Linked DNA regions of Astyanax mexicanus. The protein of the gene in region 1 purifies or fractionates together with the protein of each later gene. This does not show direct contact. Links are inferred from orthologs where the notes say so. Each region holds a gene or a part of one and is shown on either strand. Other genes may lie near its edges. The genes, in order: bach2b and mafk.

The links.
Region 2: the proteins of bach2b (region 1) and mafk purify together in Homo sapiens (co-immunoprecipitation; 3 studies listed by BioGRID and IntAct, with this or other methods). This does not show direct contact. The link is inferred for Astyanax mexicanus from reciprocal best matches to the Homo sapiens genes BACH2 and MAFK.

Annotation. Positions count from the first base shown.
Region 1 is NC_064408.1:47,686,774-47,698,897, reverse strand, and holds the start of bach2b (transcription regulator protein BACH2), read left to right. Parts: upstream 1-6,330; 5' UTR 6,331-6,694; intron 6,695-12,124. UniProt on the Homo sapiens protein: Transcriptional regulator that acts as a repressor or activator. Binds to Maf recognition elements (MARE). Plays an important role in coordinating transcription activation and repression by MAFK.
Region 2 is NC_064410.1:57,363,015-57,375,561, reverse strand, and holds the start of mafk (transcription factor MafK), read left to right. Parts: upstream 1-6,967; 5' UTR 6,968-7,188; intron 7,189-12,547. UniProt on the Homo sapiens protein: Since they lack a putative transactivation domain, the small Mafs behave as transcriptional repressors when they dimerize among themselves.

The DNA.
Region 1 (12,124 bases):
ATTTGTATTTGAATGAATGACACAGCAGTCCCTTATTTTAGCACAGTGATGATTCCTCGATTCCTCAGCATTGAACTTAGGTTACCTTGATGTTGTGAGATAAAAAAAATAGAAAAGTGATGACTGGGTGATGTTTCACATTCACAAGTGCACAAGTTTCTACATGTCCTCTCACTCTGGGACATCCAGTCAGAGGGACACATTTAAAAGTTTTTTTTTTTCTTCTGGGTACATTAAAATTACCAGATTATTTCACATATCGCAGATACAAATCACATATATTTATGAATGATATAGTCTGATCTGAGCAAAAATCTCAATTTGTTTAATGAGGTTTGTAATGTGAATTTAGCCCAGAATTAATTAATTTAGACTGCAATGCATAATCAGTATATAATACCATATGAACATAAATCCAATAGGTATTTATAATATATCTATATATACACTTTTTATGAACAGAAACTTGGGCCAGATAAAAACAAATATTTTTAAGTTTAAAACTAGTTAATTTAATTACTGTAGAAATCTTAAATATTGTTTTTTTTCTGATCCTAAATGGCAAAAATAATTTTTAAATGTTAAAATAAACTGCCCATATAAGGACATTGTTTTTTTTTGGGGGGGGTGGGGGGGGGGGGGGCAAAACTACTTTGTGTACAAAGACAAAATTTAATTTTCTATACTTTTTAGGTCTTACTAATCCTAAACAGCTAGGATAAATTAAAATGCACACCAAGCAAAAATCCAATGAAAAATGTCAGATATCTGTGCATGGAGTTGTAGAGGTTCCTAATGGCGCCCTGTGATAATCAATATCAAGCAGCTTAAATATTCTCACACAGTTCCTGAAGATTTTACAGTATTTGTGAAGTTTAAGTAACTAAAATATTACAAATCTCAGGTTTAAGCTACACCAACTTCCAGTTTAACTCCAACAACACAGAATTGGACATGTTGTGTGAGCACTGATTCAGATCCAGGCATTGGCACTGTGTTACACATCTAGTATTTGAGGGTGTGTTGCACAAGTCTTTTAAGCAAGAGGTCAGTTGGCCAGTGATGTTCCTTGTGTGTGGAAGTGCATCTGTCTCTGTCTGTCTGACCTCTCTCTTTCTTTCTCTCTCTCTCTCTCTCTCTCTCTCTCTCTCTAAACCTCAGACACAGTGAATGCTGTTTGCATTACCCTTAATTACACTTCTTCACATAAAAATGCAAGTGTTTGTCCACCATGGTGGGCGGGAAACAACAGCACATGCACACGATGACCTGCCTTAACACACCCATGCTATTAGTGTAACAGTGCAGATGTTACAATATGATATTTTTTTTTATATATGATATATTTTTTTTCTAAAATTCTTCTTAGGGATTAATAAGTTATCTATCTGTCTGCCTAATTCTATCTATCTATCTATCTATCTATCTATCTATATATATATATATATATATATATATATATATATATATATATATATATATATATATATATATATATATTTATCTATCTATGCAACATTAATGCAGAAAAGAGCATTAAAGTGGACATGAAACATTTTAGTTTGTAAAGATTTTCTATGGGATTAAATTTATGTGGGGGGAAATTTTATATAGAAAATGTTTACACACTAAAATATAATATATTATGTTTGTTACTACCCTAAACATTAGTGTTAGCATTTGATTTTTGTTTGGTGTGCATTTTCATTTCTCATAGTTATTTAGGATTAGTAGGACCTAAAAAGTATAAAAACTAAACTTTGTATTTTGCCGAAAAAAAACAAAAACAAAAAAAACAATGTCCTCATATGGGGACAGCAGTTTATTTTAACATTTAAAAATTATTCTTGCCATTGTCACGTGGTCCCTGTCTGTTCTCGTGTTTCTGTGTTTATTTACCTTTTCTGTGCCTGTCTCTGCTTGTGACTGTGAGTGTGTCTCCCACGTGATCCGTGTTCCTCAGTGTTTCTTGCCCTCACCTGTGTTCATTTGTAACTCCGCCCCTTAGCCCCAGGTGTTTTCTGTTTCCCGTGTGTGTTACACTATTTATAGTCCGTGCTCCCTTTCCCTCGTGTCGGTTCTTGTGCTTTGTTAGCCTGTTATGGTTGCGTCTCTGTTTCCCATATTTCTTGTTTTCAGTTTAGTTTCAGTTTATTTGTTTATTTTTGTCTTTTGTTATTTGTGTAATAAATTCACTCGCATTTGCATCCGCTCTCCTCGTCCTTCCTGCCCGCACCCTGACAGCCATTTAGGATCGGAAGAACCAAATTAATAAAAAAGATACATTTTAGCTTTCTACAGTAAGTAGATAAACTAGTTTCAAACATAGAAATATTACATTTTTTATCTGGCCCATGTTCTATCCATAAAAATGTGTATATGTACATATATTATAAATATCTATTGGATTTATGTTTATATGGTATTATATGTTACAATTATATGTTAGACATACATATTTAATCCATATATACAAGTTTATTAAAATGCATACAGCTGTGGGCGGAGTTATAGCCCCATAATGCGTTGGATGGATGCACTACGATGTTCCAAGTGTTCTGTATAGTCTAGAGCAATTGCTATGGTTCTTTGTCTCATAACTATAGTTGCTCTCTTTTGTATATATTTAAAAAAATTAAAACCTTAACAGTGTATTTTGTAAAAAAAATAAAATAAATAAATAAATAAATAAATAAATAAAGGTGCCGAAACTGTCTTTTATTTTACTGCAAGTTTGGTTCACTTTAATGGACAGTTATTAAGTATGGTTGAGATCAAGGGTTAAAATGTGGCTCCTCTGGGAACTAGAAATGAATATGTATAGCACAGTACTCTCCTTATGTTTTTTTCCCACTGTCTCTCTCTCTTTCTTTCTCTCTCTCTCTCTTTCTCACACACACATGTATGGATCTGTTTTTGTCCTCCGGCCCTCCAGTCTCTCCGGGCCCCTGACAGAATTCCCTGAAGGAAAGGTCAGAGAGTGCAGGAATGCCACTTCAACTGTCCATCTATGTGTATGTGTGTTGGGTTTGGAATATGGGGTGTGTGCAGTGCGGTAAAAGTGTGTAAGTGGTTGCTGCTTATGCACACAGTGTTTTTCTTCTAAATCACAAAAAGGTAATAATAAAATGACCTCCATTAAGATTAAAAATTAAAACATTAAAAATGTCCCTTTTTAGAAAGACTAATACATTCCACCTCCAGTACATGCAAAGTCAGCAACCGTCTCTTTTTGAAATATCACTAGGTAGTCAGAACCTTCAGTAGAAAGCACCAGATCCCCAGCTTTAATACACTAGCCATCAGATGCCTGTGCCAGCCAGCATCACACTGGAAGTAATGAGGGGAGAGAGCTCCCAGAGCACCATGACTCGAACATTGCGATCAAATTAAATGAAATCTAGGCCATAATTTAGCCAGCCACTATCAACTTTATGTTCAGTGATGGCAGGAACAAGAAACCTGAACTCCAGGTTCTGTTCAGTCGTCAGATTTATTACCATTTTAGCCTTTATGTGACCAGCTGGAACACCAGCATTGGCAACTAGCAAGTGTAGAGCAGGGTCTACAGGGCCAGCTGCAACATCTGCGGGCAAGAGTGCTGCACAATGCCATATATAATCTGTATGTCTCTATGCCCAATTATATCTTATCTAGTGCTTTTCCACCAAAAGAACCGTGGTGCTTTTCAGCGAACCAGCCTTAGTGCTCCACCAGTTTTAGTGGAACCATCAAAACGTCACAACATACGTTCACAACAGAGGGTGTTGCACAGCGGCGGTGAACAGAAGCAGTCACGATTCGCACTGAAGAACCTAGTATTACTGATTCCTGCTAAAAATTAATGTTCCTGGTTCTGGAATCTACTTTTGTTGGTGAAAATGCAGCAAAACAGTTAAAAATTAGGTTTGTAGCCAAAACGGTTCTACGTTGGTGGAAAATTGCTTATCTTGTTTCCAGCTTAGAGGCACCAAAACGTGTACTAATAGCTTTTAAAATTGTACATTTTCCATACTTTTCCCCGTATCCTTGTGCTTGTGTTTGTAAATATCATTATTACATTCAACTATCAATTGTTTTGTCAATAAGTGTTCTACACTGTTCCAAGAAGGCTTTGCACTAGATTTTTGAACACTGCTTTAAAGCATTTGATTGCATTGAGCCAATAGATCTTAAGTGAAGTCAAGTATTGATTTTACATTAGTTCTTGATCACAGATGCCACTCCAACTCCTGCTAAGGGAACTCAATGGAGCTCTGTCGCTTCAGATAATACAGTTTCACTGTTCCACAGAACAAGGCTGGAGGCATTTAACCCTCTAGCCCTTGCACAGCATTGGTCATTGTGTGGTTGGGCTCCTCCAGAGTGCCCCATTCTATTGACAGCACCCTATGAAGATTAAATAAGATGTTAAATTTTGCATTTGAACAATATCTGAACTCATTAGAAGGGGTGTCTGGATCCTTTGGGTATTAATTAGTAGAATTTAGATTTAAACAGTTAACCATAAATAGAAAATAACTTTCCACTCAATATCACACTTTTCAGAATAGCAGAATAAGTCATACCTCTTAACAGTAAGAGGACACTTTAGCTCAGAAAAGCACACTCTCTCACACACACATACACTCCTGTATGAATGCTCCAAGTGCAGACTCTGTGCAGACTCCCCAGGGGAAGAGCTCTCCCCTCTAAATGAAACTCTTCCCACCCAGAGCGGCTGTGCTGTGTGGGCTGCTTCAGAACAAAGCCAGGCTGTGTTGAGAAGACTGTACTCAGACACACAGACCCACACATATGTACCTCCTCTATCACATTGTTTTTCTTCATTGTTGTAAAAAGAACAGATGAACATTAGTAAACATTATGGTTTTAAATGCGTAGTACTGTATATTTGTAAGTCTGATCAATCTGACCACACTAGACAACTAGTATGATCAAGCTTAACAATACTAGTTAAACAGCCTGGCCTGCATCACCAAGCTGGTTGACCAACAAAATCAAACTGGTTGACCAGTATGACCAACATGACCAAGCTTTTTAACCAGCTTGACCTCCATGGCCAAGCATGACCAAAATCAAATGCAATATATACTCTATATACTCCTAAGTGGTCTAGCGTTCTAGCATATAATATGTTTTCACCTAGGTGACCAGCATAGACTATCTGAAACCAGCTACCAACGAAAGTTGGTCTGGGGCTAGATTCTGCAGCAGGTCAATTTTAAATATAATAATAAAAACAGCTGTAATTTCCATATAAATCACAGTAACAATTATAGTCAGTATAACTAGTAATCAGAACTAAAATAAACATTTTAATTGATTAATATTGTTTTTATCCACTGTTGTAACAACCCATCATTTATTGTTGTTATTTACAGTCAAAAACAGCTAACAATTTAGAAATTAAATAAGGACAGCCATAATGTTCAAATAAAAAATATTAAATTTATTCTTTATAACAATAATCACAGTCAATATAACTGTAATTGATAATAGATAAAATAATAATAATAATAATAATAATAATAATAATAATAATAATAATACTTTGATATTGTTTTTATTAAAAATAATTACAAATAATTATGGTGGTGTCCTGTTATATAGTACAGTACCGTATACTATTCCTAGCATTTAAATAATAACAATTATGATAAAATAAGTATGCTTATGTATGAATTATTTGTTTATTTCAAATATCAATTATTATTTTGTATTATTATTTTTACTTTTTCATTGTACTATACGAATAGTAAATGTTGTGTTACTGTATGATATAGTTATTTTCGTATAATATGGTAATATTATACAAACAATGTTTGTATGGATTTTATGCTTATTTTTTAAAATGCAAATTGTTATTATTATTATTATTATTATTATTATTATTATTATTATTACTAGGGTAATCTGTGAGTCTGACAGGGGTAGTAAGTTAACGTCAGCGCTGCTCCGTAACGCTGATTCTCTAAGCGGGTTTGCGCGCGCGTGTTGTCTCGCTGGTTTTGGCGCGCCCCCCGGGTCGTGTCGCTGTAGTGAACTGAACTGTCGATTCAGAAAAACACGCCGCGTCCTCCTCACTCCGCTGTGCGCGCGCACCGGCCCACCGGCCACATGTTTATGTGTTTATTTATTTATTTATTCGGTGAATTGTTTGTTTATATTGGGGGGGGGGGGGGGGGGCTGGCGCAGGCGCGCGCGCGCTGCTTTATTGTGTGTATGTGTGTGAATGAGGGCAGGGGGAGGTGACGTCATTTGGCGAATGTCAACAACGGTAGCGGAGTGAGAGAGAGAGAGAGAGAGAGAGAGAGAGCAGGGGAGGCGTAGAGCTTCAGTACCAAACACAGGAGACGAGGAGCTGCACGCTGAACGGAATCACCGCGCGCGCGCACACACACACGCACACACGCGCGCGCACTCGTATGCACACTCACATACACACACTCTTGCACATCAACAGAGAGATTCACAAAAACGCGCGCGCGTGCACGCTGAGGGGTCTTCTGTTCCCAAACTTGACTCTGCGAAGAGAGAGATAGAGAGAGAAAGAGTGCAGGCTTTGATCTTCCTGCACGAGGAGGCTTTAGAGGAGTCTGCAAGGAAGTCATCATGTGAAAGACATTGATTTTTTTTGAAGCACGCGCACGAACGGGCTGGATTACGAGAGAAAAACAGAGGGAAGTTGAAGGTAAGTGGACTCGACTGGCGTGTTCTGTCTCTGTCTTTTTTGTTTGTGGTTCTGCACTTCACTCAGCTCGAGCTCTAGTCGCTGCTTATATCGCCTCGTGCAGAAATGCAGTTAGAAACTCGTGCTTTTTGCAGGAGAGAGAGAGAGTAGGATAGAGAGTAAGTGAGAGAAAGAGAGGAGGGGGTGGTCGAGTTTCGGAGTAGAGCGAAGGGAACCGTGTCTTCATGCATTGCACTGACCACCCTGACCAAGCACGGTGCACGTGAACGAGGAGCGCGCGCCGTGGGACGTGGCCGCATCCTGTTGTGCTGAGCTCGAGCGGCCGGCTGCCTGTTTTTGAGCAGGAGTTGGATGCGTTGCCATCCCGGAGGAGGAGGAGGAGGAAGGGTGGAGGGGTTTGAGGGGCTTTAGGAGGAGGGGTGGGGGTGGTGGGGGTGTCAGGCATGGCCCTTGTTTTCGTGAAGGGAACAGAAGCTGTCACTCGCGGAAGCCTTGACCGACCAAGTGGCACACACACAGAGACGGACCAACCCCCCCACTCCCTTTCTTCGGGGGTCTAGTTCACCCTTTTCCGGCTTATTATTATCATCATCATTTATTTATTATTTTTAAAATGTTTTTTTAATAATAAGTATTTTAAAGAAAAGTAATATCATGTATTATTATTATTATTATTATTATTAATTGTATTATTATTATTATTATTATTATTATTATTATTATTATTATTATTATTATTATTATTGTTATTATAACCACAACCCTTACTGGTGTTACTATTGATAACTTGCTATTATTATAACCACTACTTCTACAGTTATTTTTTGTCTGAACCTTCTCCTACTACTAGTACTGCTATTAGTAATAGTAATAGTAGTACTCTTCTTCATCATCTTCTTTTTATTATTATTATTATTACTACCACGTGCATTACTGTTACTATTGTTATCATTAATAGCCTGCTACTATAGCCAATACTGCTACTATTGTATTGATATTGTCACGAAACCTACTGTATTATATCATTATTATTATTTTTATTATTACCATTACCATTATTGATGATTCTATTGATAACCTGCTATTATAACCACTACTGCTACTGTTATTTTCTCTGAAGCTGCTATTACTACTAGTGTTACTATTATTAGTAGTAGTATTAGTAGTGGTAATATTTTGGATCTTCTTTTTCTTATTATTGTTACTACTGCCACGTGCATTACTATTACTATTCTTATTAGTAATAGCCTGCTACTATTCATCTTATTTTCACGAAACTTAATATATATATATATATTTTTTATTATTATTATTGTTATTACTATTATTATTGCCACTAGTATTGTTACAGTCAGTAACTCAGTCAGTTAAGTCAGTTACTACTGCTGCTGTTATTGTAGCGCTGCTGTTTAACTGTTTTATTATCATCATCATTAATGATAATGAGGGCTGCTGTATTCTGTGCACATGGAGGGATCAGCCCGTCGTGTCACTTTTGTTTTCGCAAGAGTATCCCAGTGAAAAGCAGCAGCAGCAGTCCTGTGCTGTGGGAATGTGCTTATCCTGCTGCTGCAGAAAAGCAGCTCTCCGCCGGCTGGCTTTGTTCTGCCATCCACACACACACACACGCTCTCCAACCCGGAGCCACCGCATTACAACACCCCCCCCCCCCCCCGCCCCCTCCCCCCCCCCTCCATTAATCCACACAAATATCAGCAGAAATATCTGCTGTGTAAGGGGGGCTGCAGCAGCAGCCCTGCTGCCCGAGGGTGCCATTTAAAGCAGCAGAGTCCGCTTTTCCACACTCTCGGTCTCTCTATAGAAATGTTACTCACACCAAACAAACATTGAAAACACCGAAATCAGTATCGCATGTTTCCTGATAACTGAGGCGTGGAATCTGAGCTGAATGATCACTGACTGGAGATCAGTTTAGGAATAGGTTGCGCTGGAGTTGTGGGAGTCAGCGTGGACTGGAGCGTGGACTTGGTTGTAAACAAACAAGTCATCTTATTATCATAGTGGTCAAATTAAACCTTCGACTTTCAGATGACGTGTCGTTTTAATTCGGTTTCATTGATGAAAGCGCTTCGTCTCTCTGTAAATACAGCGCCGGTGTGTTGTCGAGTTGTGCTACCTTGTCAAACCGTGCTACCCTAGTGTATTTAAAGGTAAAAAGAAATACTATATCCTAATAATATTTTCGAATAGTCTCGCTGTAAAAGTGTCGATTTGATATTGGAATAGCCTAAATCGTTGTATCAGAGTAGAATTAAGGCAATACATGTAATTGGAAGCCATTCTATAGTTATTTTTGTTATGTTTATATTAGCATAATTATTACTTTACACGGTTGTAAAAAATATCTCACTCAAGCAAAAAAAGGCAGTGATCTCAGATTGTATAATGCACCCAAAACACGTGAAAATAGTAATAAAAATGAGAATTAGCGCATGCGCCGAGCTGCTAAGTAACACAAATCGATGGGTAGCACAAATCGACAGAACACCCCCCGTTGTGTTTTTGGCTGCTGGCTGTGAGAGCCGTGAGCTCGCTGGTTATGAATGACTTGGCTTTGTCTTCAGCTGGGAGGATGTATGAATGTAACATTAGCCCGCGTTAGCCTTTAGTTATCACACACACACGCGCGCGCGCTCCCGTAAGCTTCAGGAGCATCTGCTATGCTAATACAATGCTCGCTAGCGATCTTCTTGTCGCGATTTGATCCGATTAAGCGCGAGCCCGTGTTTGAACAGTCTGGGGGAAACACGTTTCTACGAGAGCTGTTTGGTGCTGTAAGAAATTCTGCTCCCATCCAAAACTGTGCACCCCCCTCCCCCTCCCCCTCCTCCTTCTCCTCCCTCACCAATGCGGTGATGCAGCATTTTACGCTGCCTTGTTGTTTCCACCCCGCCACCACCTGTTTTCCGCAGAGGCCCCGCCCACTACGTGCCCCAATTGGCTAATGTCCGGTACTCTTGGTACTTTCGAGCGCTCGTATTTGCATACAGCGCTGTGATTGGCCGAAATCACTGCCATCCCTCCAATCGAAGCCCAGGTGGCGGGATTTGTCTGAAAACAGGTGGAGAAAAAAGATACAGCGCGTTCCAGCCTGCATTCCTTTGTCTGCTCAGCGCAGAGAGACGGAACTCAATCCCCGTTATGTTTTATTTTTCATAAATTCACCAACACACAGTTATATATCCTATAATAGGAGGAGTATCTTAGAATTATACAATAAAACTGCTTAATTTGTTCTATAAAGAGGTTTTATGAACGTTTTAATGTAAACGTTTTGTGGGTGAGTCTTATGTTCATACTTTGGCGTCAGGTTTATTGTTCATGAACCGATGAACCTTTAGATACACGTGTATCTGTGGAAGTGTAAAAAAAAAAGATTTTATTACAAATCATTTTGGAGCATTTCATCATATTGGTCCATTCTTCATGAAATATACATTGATGAGAACAGCTGTCCGACTGTAAAAAAGAAAAAAAAGTAAAAAAGTAAAATACAGCAAAAACTGAGTTTTTCCACAACAGTGTTTTACCTCATTTATTTCATTCACATGTAATAAAACTGCACATAACCTGTTTTTTACCTCCTTTATTTCTTTATTGTAAGTGCCTGTATGTCCCATATGTCCTATATCCTACATTATGTTTCATCACAGACTGGCAGGTGCCTACCTAGGGAGAGCTTACTGTCATTACACAGAGCATTTATTTATTTTTTTGCCTTTCCACTGTCCATCTGTGTAAAGGAGCTAAGAGTGTGTTTGCTTTTGTGCTATTCTTTGTGCAATCTGTAACCAGCGCTCAACAACTGATAATTGATATTCATGTTATAAATGCAAACATCTATAAAAATATATAAAAATATATATATTAAGGTATTGCAAGGAAAGTGGACATTGTTTAGATTTAGAACACACTGTACTGTTTGCCTCCGTCTGACAGCTGATGTTTGAATTTCCGTACAGTGAATGACTGCATGTAGGAGAGCAGTGGTGTGAGTTCCACGTCGACAGTGCTCAGTGCTTGTGTCTTATCTTTAGTTCCATCTCCACGTTGCATGTTAGATTCACACAAAAAATAATGCATATTTTAATGAAGCTTGTTTTTGCACCGGACAGTGCGGTGGTAAAGTTCAGAGGAGTGTGGTGCAGCTGTAAATGCTAGCTAAAGGCATGGTTTTTGTCCTGTCCTGCTTGTTTGAATAAGCCCACCAGCGCTCTTTCAGAACACAAGCCTAGGGTATGAAAACATGTTCCCATAGCCATCCCACGTCAGCACAATGGCATGTTTGACTGAGCTCCAGATTTTGACAGAGAGAGAGGGAGCGAGAGTGTGTGTGCTGTGTGTGCGCTGTGTGTGCGAAGCTCCTGAAGTTCAGACAGGGCTTTTGTTGTTCCTCTCTTACGTTGTGTTAGGATGACACTCATGCCCATTGGCATCATCAGTCACCACTCGGAACCAGACGCTATTATCACTGCCAGGACCAGCTGTGTGTGCAGTGCCCTGCGCCGCACACACTTGCACACATTTAGTGTTTATTTATATACAATGATAGTAAAAATGTATCCCATATCATTCATACTGTATGTGTATGACTGTACAAATAATAAATTCTATACATATTATGACAGACATTGTGGTTTGTAGTCGTAGTAGAGGTTCTTAATGGTGTGCTTCGATAGTACATCCTGTGCAACTTTAATATTCATACAGTTCCAGCAGAGTTTGTGGCAAAGTGTCTATGTCTTTAGGCTTAGATGTTGAATCTTCAGCATGTGGATGAGCATTGTTGTGTTGGCGCATTATAGCACAGACCACAGTTCCTCCACGCATAAACTTGTTGGATGTTTCCTCAAAGAAAGAAGCAACACTTGTCACTACAGATGATTCTGAGTCACTCTACATGATTGTCTAGCACAACTACCCACCACATTTCACTTTTGATGCTTAATTCCTTGTGGGTGATGAGTTTATACACTCACTCAGGGTTCATACACATTTTAACCAAAAAATTTCCATTATTTTGTCATGAATTTTCCATGTGTTCAAGGCAAATTTTCTTTGACCATACGATTTTTAAAGCATCAGTGCAGACATGAACAATAAAACTAAAAATCAACTAAAACTATAATTAAAATGAATAATATAGTAGGTCCAAAATGACTCTGATAAGAATGTTGACAAACAATATTTAATAAAAAAAATGTGTGGCAGATCCTGAGAGCTCCATTGTGTAAGCTTAAAATTATTGAATGGAAACACAAAGATTTGTTGAACCTAATTTCAATGACTTTTCCAAAACTCTCTGGGTATTTTTATTTTTCCAAAACTTATCCATGACTTTTCCAGGTTTTTCATGACTGTTTGATCCCTGCTCAATGAAGTTATGAACAGTTATGTTGGATAAGCATC
Region 2 (12,547 bases), on another chromosome or scaffold:
TCGATGAGGTCAGTGGAATGCTTAGTCAAGGCTCCAGATTTAAAGGCCGTGTTACGAGGGAAGTCCATAAACCTGCAGGAATATTTTGCAAATAAGCCGTTTCTCCCCAAACCGCTCTCATGCGGTTATGACTCAGTGTTTTTGAGGAAGAAAACTTCCAAAACATCGGAATCTCTCCCTCTGAACGTTAGGGTTTCACTGTGATTTACATTTCTGTTGTTTTTTCCCTCGTTTTGCAAGCTTTCCCTGTGGATAGCGCTGAAATGAGCTGTTGATCTGGATACCATGTGACGGCCAAATGTCACAGCTTTAGGGAATGATAGCGCTAGTTTAGGGAATTAGTAAGAGCGCTACTGAGATGGCACCACACCAAAGCAGAGCTCTGTGATGCCATTTTTCTTTTCATTTTTTTAGCTGCTTATAGGTTTGTGGTGGGTCAGAGACCAATGCAGGAATACCCCTTGAACAGGATGCCAGTCCATTACAGGGAACCACACATACCAATTCACTCATACACTTAGATTGCGTTTACATTACCAGGCTGAAGTGGCTCAGATATGATTTTTTTTTTGCTCAAAGTGGCTCAGATATGATTTTTTCATGGCTATTTTGGCCATTTTTTTTTTTAAATCAGATTTGATTCACTTCCATATGTGTTCCTAAATCGAATACGCACCGGATCCATGAACATGCGACATGAATGTGAATGGTCAAATTGGAATTCATGTGTTTTTTTTTGTTGTTTTTTTGCTTTTACGCATTAGCATTAGCGCTAGGTGCTTCTCTCCCATACCCACACATCTCTTGGTGCAGCTGTGCAGCTATAGCTTGAAAAAAAAAACAGCAAAAGCAAACCGCTTGACCTTTTTTCACGTCCTCACCACCTTACTCTCCACTCCAGCAAAAGATGCTCCACATATGAGCTGCTAACAAACGCATCCATTTCCCTTTATAAAGCTACAAGTCGTCTCTCAAATATGAGTTTTTTTGTTTGTTGGTGAAGAAGGTGTCGTTTATACACATATCAATGTGCCACCTGTGGCATTTAAGGGATTCAGATTCGTTCACATTACACATAGAAACAGGTCACTTCACTTATATTTGTGAATGTGAATGTGTCAATATAGCCAAATCTGATTTTAAAAAAAAAATCGGATTTGACCAATGTGGCTTTAACTAATGTGTATGTAGCATTAACCGTAGCAATTTAGCATGCACAATTCATCTAGGATTTAAAGACGTTGACTTATGGATGTATGGATGCATGTTGGCTGTATATGAGGACTAAAACCCAAGTCTGGGTTTGCCGGTTTCCAGAAGAACAGTACTTGCCAGACTGCATTGTGCCAACTGTAAAGTTTGGTTGAGGGGGGATAATGGTGCGCTGTGGACTGCTGTGGTTTCAGGCAGCAGTAGGTTTCAGGATTAGTAATGCAGTTTCAGGGTTTGGGAATGACAGACAGTTAGAGAATAAACAGAATAGCAATACTGAAACCTTACTCACTAGCTGATAAATAAAGCACTTAACATTTTATAGGCAAGTCTGCGGTCGTCCCTGCAACAATGTCAGGCAGTTATCTCCAGTCATATGAGACAAGCCTCCTATCTAGTTTGGGGCACACCAAAATACTAGGAACTGCTGGGAAACATTTTGTAACTTTTGACTCAACAATTCACAAAAAACACAATGTTTCAGCTTGTTTTGGCTACTGCACAAAAAGAGTTAAAACACACTCCCTTGATCTTGAGATTGATATTGTGTTTATCGCACAGTTACTTATCATAAAAGCACATGATGAACCAAACAGTGCAAAACCTGAAACCGATGTGAATTAGCTTAGGTACTTAAACATTCCCACAACACAACACCCAACATCCAAAACCATACATACCAACATTTCTTATTTTTCACTCTATAAGGCGCATCAGATTATAAGGCGCACTATTAATTGCAATGTCTATTTTCTGGTCTATTTTCAAACATAAGGCACACCAGATTATAAGTAACTAGTAAAAATATAGTAACTAGTAGTAGGAACGGAGTGTCACCAAGTTTTTCATCCAATTCAGCTGGTTTTGCTAGCGGTTAGTGGCTAATGCCACCCGACAGAGCTACACTGAGGAACCCACTGAGTGTTTTCCAGTAAGCCAGGGCATTATCAGCTAGCGGTTCATCCCACGTAGCTTGTTTTAACATGGTAAACACGCAGGCTTCCATCAGATATACTCGCATTTGAACAGCCAAAGAGTGCTTAGCGTGGTTAGCAGCTTAGGCTAATGCTGCTCCAACAGTGCTAGCCAGGGTTAGCAGCAGGGTACAGGCCAATAATACTCACCTCTGGACAGCCAAAGAGGTAGTACATAGCGTGCTTAGCGGCTAATGCTAATACTGCTGGAGAACTAAACTGAAACTCCTGCATATCACTGTACTTCAGTGGAGTGGCTTTACTGCTTCTTAATACCTGACTGGTAGAATTCATACATAATGTTTATAAGGATTATAATGATTTTAAGTGTGCCTATAGTGCGAAAAATACATTACTCTTATTATATTCAGAACATTAATTACAGATAAAACTTGCAATGTACCATGGGATAGGAAGCACTGTGCTTTGCTGGCCCTCCTACCGGCGCCCTTCGCCCACCAGGAGTGCCTGTAAACTCAAGCTGTAGTCTGTCTTAGAGAATAAACTCAGAAAATATTTTTCTCACACTTCAGGTTATACAACTCCAGAAATGTTCTGTGCAAAATTTGATATGGTTAATTTATCCCTTTCAACTATTCCAAAGCTGCATTTTCTGTTGATACCAATCAGGTTACCTGGTTTAGCTGTATGCTAATGCATTTTCTAGGCCCGAACAAGAAAACTCCTATTTCAGAAAAGTTCCAGAAGCTTCCTGCTGAACTGTTCTCTCTCTCAGACCCATATCTGCAAGTGTTTCCGATCATTCTGCAGCATAAAGCCACCCAAAATGCTAGCATGATTGCTCATCAGATTACTCCGCCAACCAGCTCTCCACATAGGATGTGCATGAAGCAACCCAGCACACCAGCGAGAGATTGGATCCATATGTCTCCTCGGAGGAGAATGCACGTGTGTTGAGTCACTCAGTGGCAGGACTGTTCAGCAGGAGAAGAGTATGAGCCAGCGGACTTGGCATGATGCCCTCAGCCACAGAGGATCCAGCGTACACTTACTCAGTTCCTCTGGAGGGAAGTGAGATGGCAGTTTGGTATATATTTGCTAATGGGTTCAGATCCAGGATTTGCTTGAGGAAATGTATTGCTTTAACCCTATAAGGGGTCAGGAGCCTCATTCAGTTCATAATGTATAAAAATCCTAGTGTGTAATAAGGATGTAATAAGAATACTACAGTTAAATAAAAGAGTGTAAATATAAATAAGTATATTTGCTTGTAAGTTATATTAAATGTCATGACTATTTGTAAGATACACCATGTAGAACTCTTTATACATTCAGCTCTGGAAAATGATGAGTTTCTTTGATTTTACCAAATTGAAAACCTCTGGAATATAATCAAGAGGAAGATTGATGTTCACAAGCCATCAAACCAAGCTGAACTGCTTGAATTTTTGCACCAGAAGTAAAGGCATAAAGTTATCCAAAAGCAGTGTGTAAGACTGATGGAGGAGAACATGCCAAAATGCATAAAACTGTTGATTTCTGAACTCTTAAAACTTGATAAATACGAACTTGTTTTCTTTGCATTATTTGAGGCCTGAAAGCTCTGCATCTTTTTTGTTATTTCAGCCATTTTTCTGCAAATAAATGTTCTAAATGACAATCAGTATTTGGTGGGATAACCCTGGTTTTTAATCACAATTTTCATGCATCTTGGCATCATGTTCTCCTCCACCAGTCTTACACACTGCTTTTTGATAACTTTATGCATTTACTCCTAGTGCAAAAATTCAAGCAGTTCAGTTTGGTTTGATGGTTTGTGATCATCCATCTTCCTCTTGATTATATTCCAGAGGTTTTCAATTTGGCAAAATCAAAGAAATCCATAATTTTTAAGTGGTCTCTTATTTTTTTTTCCATAGCTATATTTTATTACATGGTTTTTCAAGCATTTCAATTGATCCACTCACCATGAAATGATGACAAAATGTAAAGATAAGCTACAACCTTTACATTATACCAAAAGGTCATGAGTATAATGACATAAGGATCATAACTTTATAAGGACATACATTTATATATAGCACTTTAATGCCATAAACAACACTATGTAAACAGTGCAGATAGACTTTGGTGGTTTGCTGATGTTAGACATAGTTACAGGCTGGATTCCCCTGCCTTGTAATACGCAGCTGGTTGGAACTGTGGAATGCAGAGGCCTCAGAAATATGGCAAGCATTTCCAACAGCCATGTTATTACAGCCCTGATGCTGGTAACTACAGACAGAGGGAGCTGTTGCCTCCCTTTTTCTTTCCACTCAAACATCAGACCACACACTGCTACTATCGGTACACACACTACAGAGTGGAGCTTGGGAGTTGAGTAAGATGTGAGGACTGGAGAACTTGGCACTTTTAAGACATATAACTATCAGTAATGATTTAGACAAAGCAGAGACAGAGCAGTTTAGACGTTAATGAATCAGCCTATATGCTCATGTGTGGGTTTCAGGTGGGCATGGACTCTGAAAGAAGGGTTTGTAAGTGTGATCCTACTGGAACCTAGTTGGGCTTCCCATTGGACCCCATCATTGGACCCCACCTTAATCTTATATGGGTCCATCTAAGCCCACATGCAGTGTACAACCCAGTTGAGGCCAATGGCTGGTCTAATCATTGACCCTTGTGGGCATCTATCTATATGTGGGGCAAACATGGAACTTGTGGACTAAATTCAAAGGCCCATTACATTACATTTGGCAGATGCTTTTGTCCAAAGCGACTTACAATAATTATGTACATTTAGTAATAAATGACATAGAAGTTCAAGGTAACAAAGAAAAATTAAGACCGGGCATAAAGAAGGCCAAATGGAAATACTGTGATAGAGGAGGGAAGGAGGGGAAGAAATGAATTAAAGAAATTGCCCCCCAGATGCTTTAAACTTTGTTCCATCACAACGAAGCATTTTGTCTTGTATCATCAAATAGACTGGTCCCACTTTAAAATAATACTACCTTTATAAAGGGTTTATAAATGGTTTACTAATAGTTTATAAACAGTTACTTCTTAGGTTGTAAGTGCCTTAAAATCATTAATAATCAGTAATAACACATACGTCGAAGGGCCAACAAAATAGATAGCTGTGGGTTCACTATTTAACAAACAACAGGTCATTGTTGCCCTTTCTATGTATGTGTTATAACTGATTATTAATGATTTTAAGGCATTTACAAACTAATTAGTAACCATCAATAAACTAATTGTAAACCATTTATAAACCCTTTATAAAGGTAGTCTTATTTTAAAGTGGTACCAATAGACTTTATCCCATTGTGAGGGCTCCTATTCGGCACCGCATAATATTTAATCCACTGGTGTGGCACCTAGGAAAACCCTATTCAGGGCAGCATCCCATTGTCATCCTATTTTCTGTACCATTTTCTACTGAAAGGGCAGAAGGAAACGCATAGATGGGTATTATTAAGACACATTATTAAAATGTCTTGATGCTTTCCACCTTCATGATGCTGCACAGCCGCCGGTGGTTAAATCGCCTACACCCTCAGTTGATCAGACCATTTGATTATACTCCTTTATAATAATGGCATTATGCCTAAAATGTTACAATTTTAATAACTTTTCAACATGAACCTTCACTGAACTAATCTCCACGATTCCTGACTCATCGCCAATTGGTAAGTGATGAGAATTTTACTATAATATGAAGTTTACGTCTTATTAATAAAGGCTATAGACTATAAATTTAAATTTTTTAAAGTTTTTTTCATTATTTAAAATGTTCTGCATTGTAGATTAATACTAATATCATCCAAACTATGAAGAAAAACATATGGAATTATTATTTAGCAAACATTATTTTTCCCATTTTCTCCCCAATTTTGCACAGCCAATTACCCATCCCATTTATTAGGACTCCTGCTATCACTAGTAATGCCCCAACTCACCAGGAGGGTAAAGACCAGCACATGCCTCCTCCCATACGTGTGAAGTCAGCCACCGCTTCTTTTCGAGCTGCTGCTGATGCAGCATTACCGAGTAGCACCACAGCACGCTCGGAGAAAAGCGCAGCAACTAGGTTCCGCTACATCAGCTCACAGACGCCCTGTGCTGCAGACATCACCGTTTTAGTGATGCGGGGAGAGAGCGCCATCTACTCACCCGGGGGGAAGCAAGGCCAATTGTGCTCCCTCTGAGCGCTGGCAGCTTGATGGCAAAAACAAAAGAAGTGTTAAACAAACCAGAATATGTTTTATATTATAGATTCTCATTTTCTCAATCAGCTGTGCAGAACTTGTCAAGAGTTAATCACTTGAATTTCTTGTCTCTTAATGTGTTTGAGAGCATTAGTTGTAAAGTTGTGAAGAGATAGAGTTACAGGTATACAGTGAATAACCCTATTTGAGTGTATATGTTCTAATCCATACTATGGCTGGAACTAAAGTACTCTCAAGTAAATTTGTACAGACCAAAGTTAAATAAATGTAATGATGGAAGTGGCACTCATCAGGACCGCCCTGGGAGAAAGTTTTCTATATGAATCCTTATGTGTTTCTACATAGTTTTCTGTGCTTTTTATTATTATAAGTCTTATTATAAGCTATGTAATTATTATAAGCTATGTAATCTCATTGGTCAGCTCTCTCTATCTCTCCCGCTCTCTCTCTGAAAGAATTCACCAGCTGCGTCTATTTCTGGCCTCCCCTCGCCGTCGTCCGTTTTTTTCCCGCCTGTCTGACGTCAGCAGAAAGTTATTTTCATGAATGGAGGGGGCGGTCACGAGGAGCTGGTGACGCGCGTGCTTGCGGAAGCGCGGAGTGGAATGTTGGTTACACTGTTGTTGTTTTTGTAGTTTAGCGTTGTGTAGTTGGCGGCTCCGTTTCTCGGCTCGGCTGCGGGACACACGCTCGGAGCCCCCAGGTCCGCGACCGGCCACGGAGACGCGCGCCTGCTGCTGCTGGATAATAAAAAAACCCGGTGTTTGGGAGTGCGCGCTCCCGGCGAGGAATTCCGCGCTCACGAGGTAAGAGGCGGTGAACGCGCGTTGCCCGCACGAGCTCGGGGACACGCTTTAAAAATTCCTGCTGGAATCGCGGAGGAATCTGCGCCTTATTACTAGATGCGTGCGATCCAGGTTCAGAAAGTGGAAGATTCGCTTCGGGGTTTCGTTTCGACCGCCTGGGCGACTGCGCTGTAGCTCGGCTGCAGCGGAGCCGCCCAGGCGGTCGAAACGAAATCACGGTGCGAATCATACACTTTCTGAACCTGGATTACCAACATATAACTAATACAGCGCAAAACAGCTGTATTAACCTTTTATAAAGTATCCCACACCTTTATATATTGTTTTTATTCCTTTTATCATCACTTCCAACATTTTAACACGGGTATATTTAGATTTATTATAGGTTTATAGCTGTTATATTAGTATAAAACTAACTAACAACAATAATAAGGTATTATAATAGTAATGTGGACACGTGCGTCTGTGTGTGTGTGTGTGTGGTGTGTGTATGTGTGTAAACGACAAGCAAGCAATAAAACAAGCAAGCAAAGCGTTATACAGACTAGCATATATAGTTTACTTTTGTTTTTATTTTTTACTTTATTAAATAAAAAAAAGGTTTTAGGTTTTAATGTCTTCTTGACATCATGATTATGGAGCTAATACAATTTTTAATATAGTGTTTTCTTGTTTAAAAAAATACACAATTTAATCTAGTGTCATGTTTGAGCATGTTTTGACTCAATGTACTTCGCATTTACTGGTTAAAATTCTTTATGTAGTCTAAAATAAGGTTGTAATTGAGTGTTTATCACGATGTTGACCTGTTTTATCATGCGTTTACTGTTTAAAATCCGTACTTAGTCAAAAAAAGAGAGGTCGTAGTTCGATTAGTATCCCACGTGTAAGCACTATGTTGACGTAATGGAGTATTTATTTTGTATTTATTTCAGTGTACCGATTGTAATTCGTTTTTTAAGTGTGTATTTATCCTAATATAAAGTTGTAATGGACTTATATTATAGCACGATTATGACATTTAAGCATGATTTCTATAAATATAGTTTACACGTTCTTATTTGTATTATTTAATCGTAAGTTTACATTTAAGCAAGTTTTTTGGCTTTAAAATTCATTTTAGTCTAATTGGAGGTCGTAATTTGTTATTATCTCATATTTGATCACGATTTTAGATGTTGCATAGTTGCATTTTATTGTTTGTAGTTTGTATTACTGTATTTATTATTAATATTGTATTATTTATTCGTTATCTCACTTTTTAAGCATGGTTTTGACGTGATGTGAGGCGATTTTCTTGTTAAAATATAAAAAGTAGCCTACTATAAGGTTGTTTTTAAGTGTTTTGACAGTTATCTAAAATTGTAGCATGATTCCGACGTCAAATAATATGTATTTCTCTTTAAAATCCACATTTACTCTAATTGGAGGTCGTAATTTATTGTTATCTCATATTTGATCGCGATTTTAGATGTTGCATAGTTTGCATTTTCTTGTTTGGAGTTTGTATTATTGTATTTACTGTATTTGTTATGAGTATTGTATTATTTAATCGTTATATCACCTTTTGAGCATGTTTTTGACGTGATGTAAGTTGTGTTTTCTTCTTAAAATGTGTATTTAGCCTAATATAAGGTTCTAATTGACTGTTTTGGCAGTTATCTCGTATTATAGCACGTCATATTTTGATATTTCTCTTTAGAATTCATATTTAGTCTTAATAAAAGCTCGTAATATATTGTTTAATTGTTTTTTTTTATCTCTTTTAAACACGTTTTTGACCTAACATTTTAGCTGCGTGTTTTTGTTATTTATCTCTTTTATACGTAACTATTCTCTGTAACGTTAAGTAAATTACTTATCTAACGTTACGACATGAGGAGAAACAGAGCACGTGGTGTGTGTCCTGTAGGATTTGTGGGACAAAGGGCGCTGTGGTCAGCTCCTGATCTTACCCCGCTCCTCCGGGCACATCTAACATCACACAGTGTGACACATTAAAGCGCGCGCTAGCGCGAGGTAAACACCGCGTTATTCCTCCACGCTGTTTGCGTAGCTACGCTGCGCTGCGCTCTGTAGTGGCCAGACGCTGGGCAGAGTTCAGGGTGACGTCATGCCAGAGATGTGGGAGTGAGCGCGTGTTTTTCGCTCGCTTACGAAAAAAAAGGTCATTAACGCAGCCCCGCGTTTCCCAAAGCTATCACAGGGAAACGTTAGAACAGCGCCTTTAAGAAGAAGAGGCTTCCAGGAAGGGTTAGTAAATCTGTAAAGCTACAGAAATAACGTTCCAGGAATGCTTTGAAGTCGTGTGACGTAATAGTAAAAGTGTCCATCACTTTCCAACATTGTTAGAACGTTTCCCACACAAAAGCGTCCCAATACAATGTAATAAATGTGGCATTAACACAGTCATATAAACCCTGTTTATAAAAAAAAAAAAAAAAAAAAATATATATATATATATATATATATATATATATATATATATATATATATATATATATATATATATATATATATATATATATAACTTGTTATCTTCCGTTATTTTTTGAAATATGCGTATGAAATCTGAAAAGAAATAAGACCATTCTGAACATCTGGAAAATACAAATGTAACTTTTTTGTTATAACATTTAGTAAATCATTGTAGAGTGAGGCAGAGCAAGGTAGAATGAAGTAGAAAGAGGTAGAATGAGGTAGAGTGAGGTACAATAAAGTAGAGAGAGGTAGAGTGAGGTAATAATGAAAGAGAGGCAGAATAAAGTAGAGAGAGGTAGAGTGAGGTAGAAATAAGTTGATTCACAAACTGAAAGTTTTTAGCCATAACGTTTAGAAAGACATTTGGACAGGGAACAATGTGTGAGGAATGTTGTAATAACATTTTAATAACATTCAATAACATTTTATAGCATGATGCAGACCATTAATTATTACAATTAATTATTACATCACACTTTTTTAAAGAAAATTCCTGGAACATTATTTCTATAACATTTCAGTCTAACCTTAACAGAACTTTTTAAACACATCGCTGAACATTCTAGTGCTAAGCAATATTACCTCAAATTATTCTTACCATTATTTAATTGCATAAGAAAAATTAATGCGATTGGAGGTTGGCCAGTTATGACAATTGTATTAATGACTAGAAGTACAATATATTAAAATTACCTCAATCATTTTTCCTGATCTCGATATTACTGATTATGTTTTTCTACCTGACTCTACCTCACTTTACCTACTCTGCCTAACTCTACCTTAAACTGCATCACTCTGAAGATCACTTTGCCTCATTCTACCTCACTCTGCATCACTTTACCTTGCTCTTTTTCCCTCTTTCTTACTCCACTTTGTTCTGCCTCACGCTACCTGTAACTGCCTAATTTTACACCTCACTTTGTCTGCCTCAAACTTTGCCTGCCTCTTTCTCCTTCCTTTACTTTGCCTCATTCTACCTTGCTCTACCTCACTGTACTTAACTCTCTGCCTTATTCTGCCTTGCTGTACCTCAAACTGCCTCAATCTGCATCACTTCACCCCACTCTTTCTCATTCTCCTTACTCTACTTTGCCTCATTCTACCTTGCTCTACCTCACTGTACTTCACTCTGCCTCATTTTGCCTTGCTGTACCTCAAACTGCCTCAATCTGCATCACTTCACCCCACTCTCTCATTCCCCTATACTTTACTTTGCCTCATTCTACCTTACTCTACCTCACTGTACTTTACTCTGCCTCATTCTACCTTGCTCTGCCTCAAACTGCATCACTTTACCCCACTCTTTCTCATTCTCCTTACTCTACTTTGCTCTAAGTCTTGCTACCTGCTCTACCTCAATCCACTTTGCTCTGCCTCTGCTCTACTCCTCACTCTACTCCTAATTATACCTCACTCTGACTTCATTCTACTTTGCTCTATATTAAACTGCCTCAATCTGCATCGCACTACACCTCGCTCTACCTCACTTTACTTTGCTCTGCCTCACTCTTTTACACTACCCTAATGTACCTTGCTCCGCCTTGCTCAGCCTCACTCTACCTCCAGCCTCGTTATGTCACATGAACACAGTCTGCCGCCTGTAGAGCTCCCTCTGTTGCTGCATGTGGATAAACACAGTTTGAGGTTGCTGTTATTCATGACGATATCACAGCTTGTTTGATTTAATTAATTATTCATAAAAAAACTCATATCACGGAAGCAGTATTATTAAAATACTAGTTATATTATAGCCACAGTAGGGAATTGGAGGGTTTGACCTTTTTGCATTAATTGTTTAGTCTAACCCATAACATTCTCTGTAAATTGTGCTATTAATATCAGTATTAATATTATTAATACTGTATTAATATGGTGCTGTTTCTGTTCTATATGTGTCCCCTTATTTTACTGTATCTCATTGAGCCCTGCTAGAATGTTCCTGAGTGTGCAGTCAGTTAATCTGCAGACTGTTCACATTCAGGAACATTGGACAATAGTCCATTTTGTGGGGTGGCGAGAGTACTAGAGCTACGCCCTCGTAGGAAAAGTGAGTCATGAGTGGATAATGTGATTCATTTCCACATGTGATTATATTAAAAAAAGGAGAGTTGTCATTAGAACCTTCAAAGGGAGTTCTTTCTTTCTGTTACTCTCTAATGCCGAGTGTCAGGAACAGACTGGGTATGTTATGTCTGAAACATGATCATTTATGGAGAATTTAAAAAGGGTCACTATTCACTTGCATTCACTTACATTCAGTGGAGGGCTGCTCTTCTCTCCAGCTTTGGTGTTTAGTCAGTATCGTAATACTTTGGCTTTGGCTCTTGAGGTAAAATCATTGCACTGAGACTCTCGGCGTAAGTTCTCTACGAGTTCTGCTGCTATGAATTAGGAGCTCTACCTCCTATGAGACCCTGATGTAATGCTGTCTGCTGGCCTGGCCTGTGTAGCAGTGATGGTAGTGATAGCAGTGATGAGCTTTAGCAATGATGACTTCATTAATTTTTCCACACAAACACTAAAAGGAAACAGTTGCGGGGCTGAGATTACGCTCACGACTTGACATTAGGCACCTATGAGTAACAAAATACTTAAAAGCTGACACATAATCTCATTGATATGATGCTGATATGTAATTTAAAAAAGTTAAATAAAGCTTAAGAATTCAAGCATTTTAAATATATATATATATATATATATATATATATATATATATATATATATATATATATATATATATATTCTTGATTCTAGAAACATCTAACAAATGGTTCTAAGTTCTAATCAAGAATTAGCAGCTAAAATAATAATGCCTCTGATATTACGCAGGTAGTGAGAGGTAAAGTGATTTAGAGTAAGGTAGAATGAAGCAGAGTGA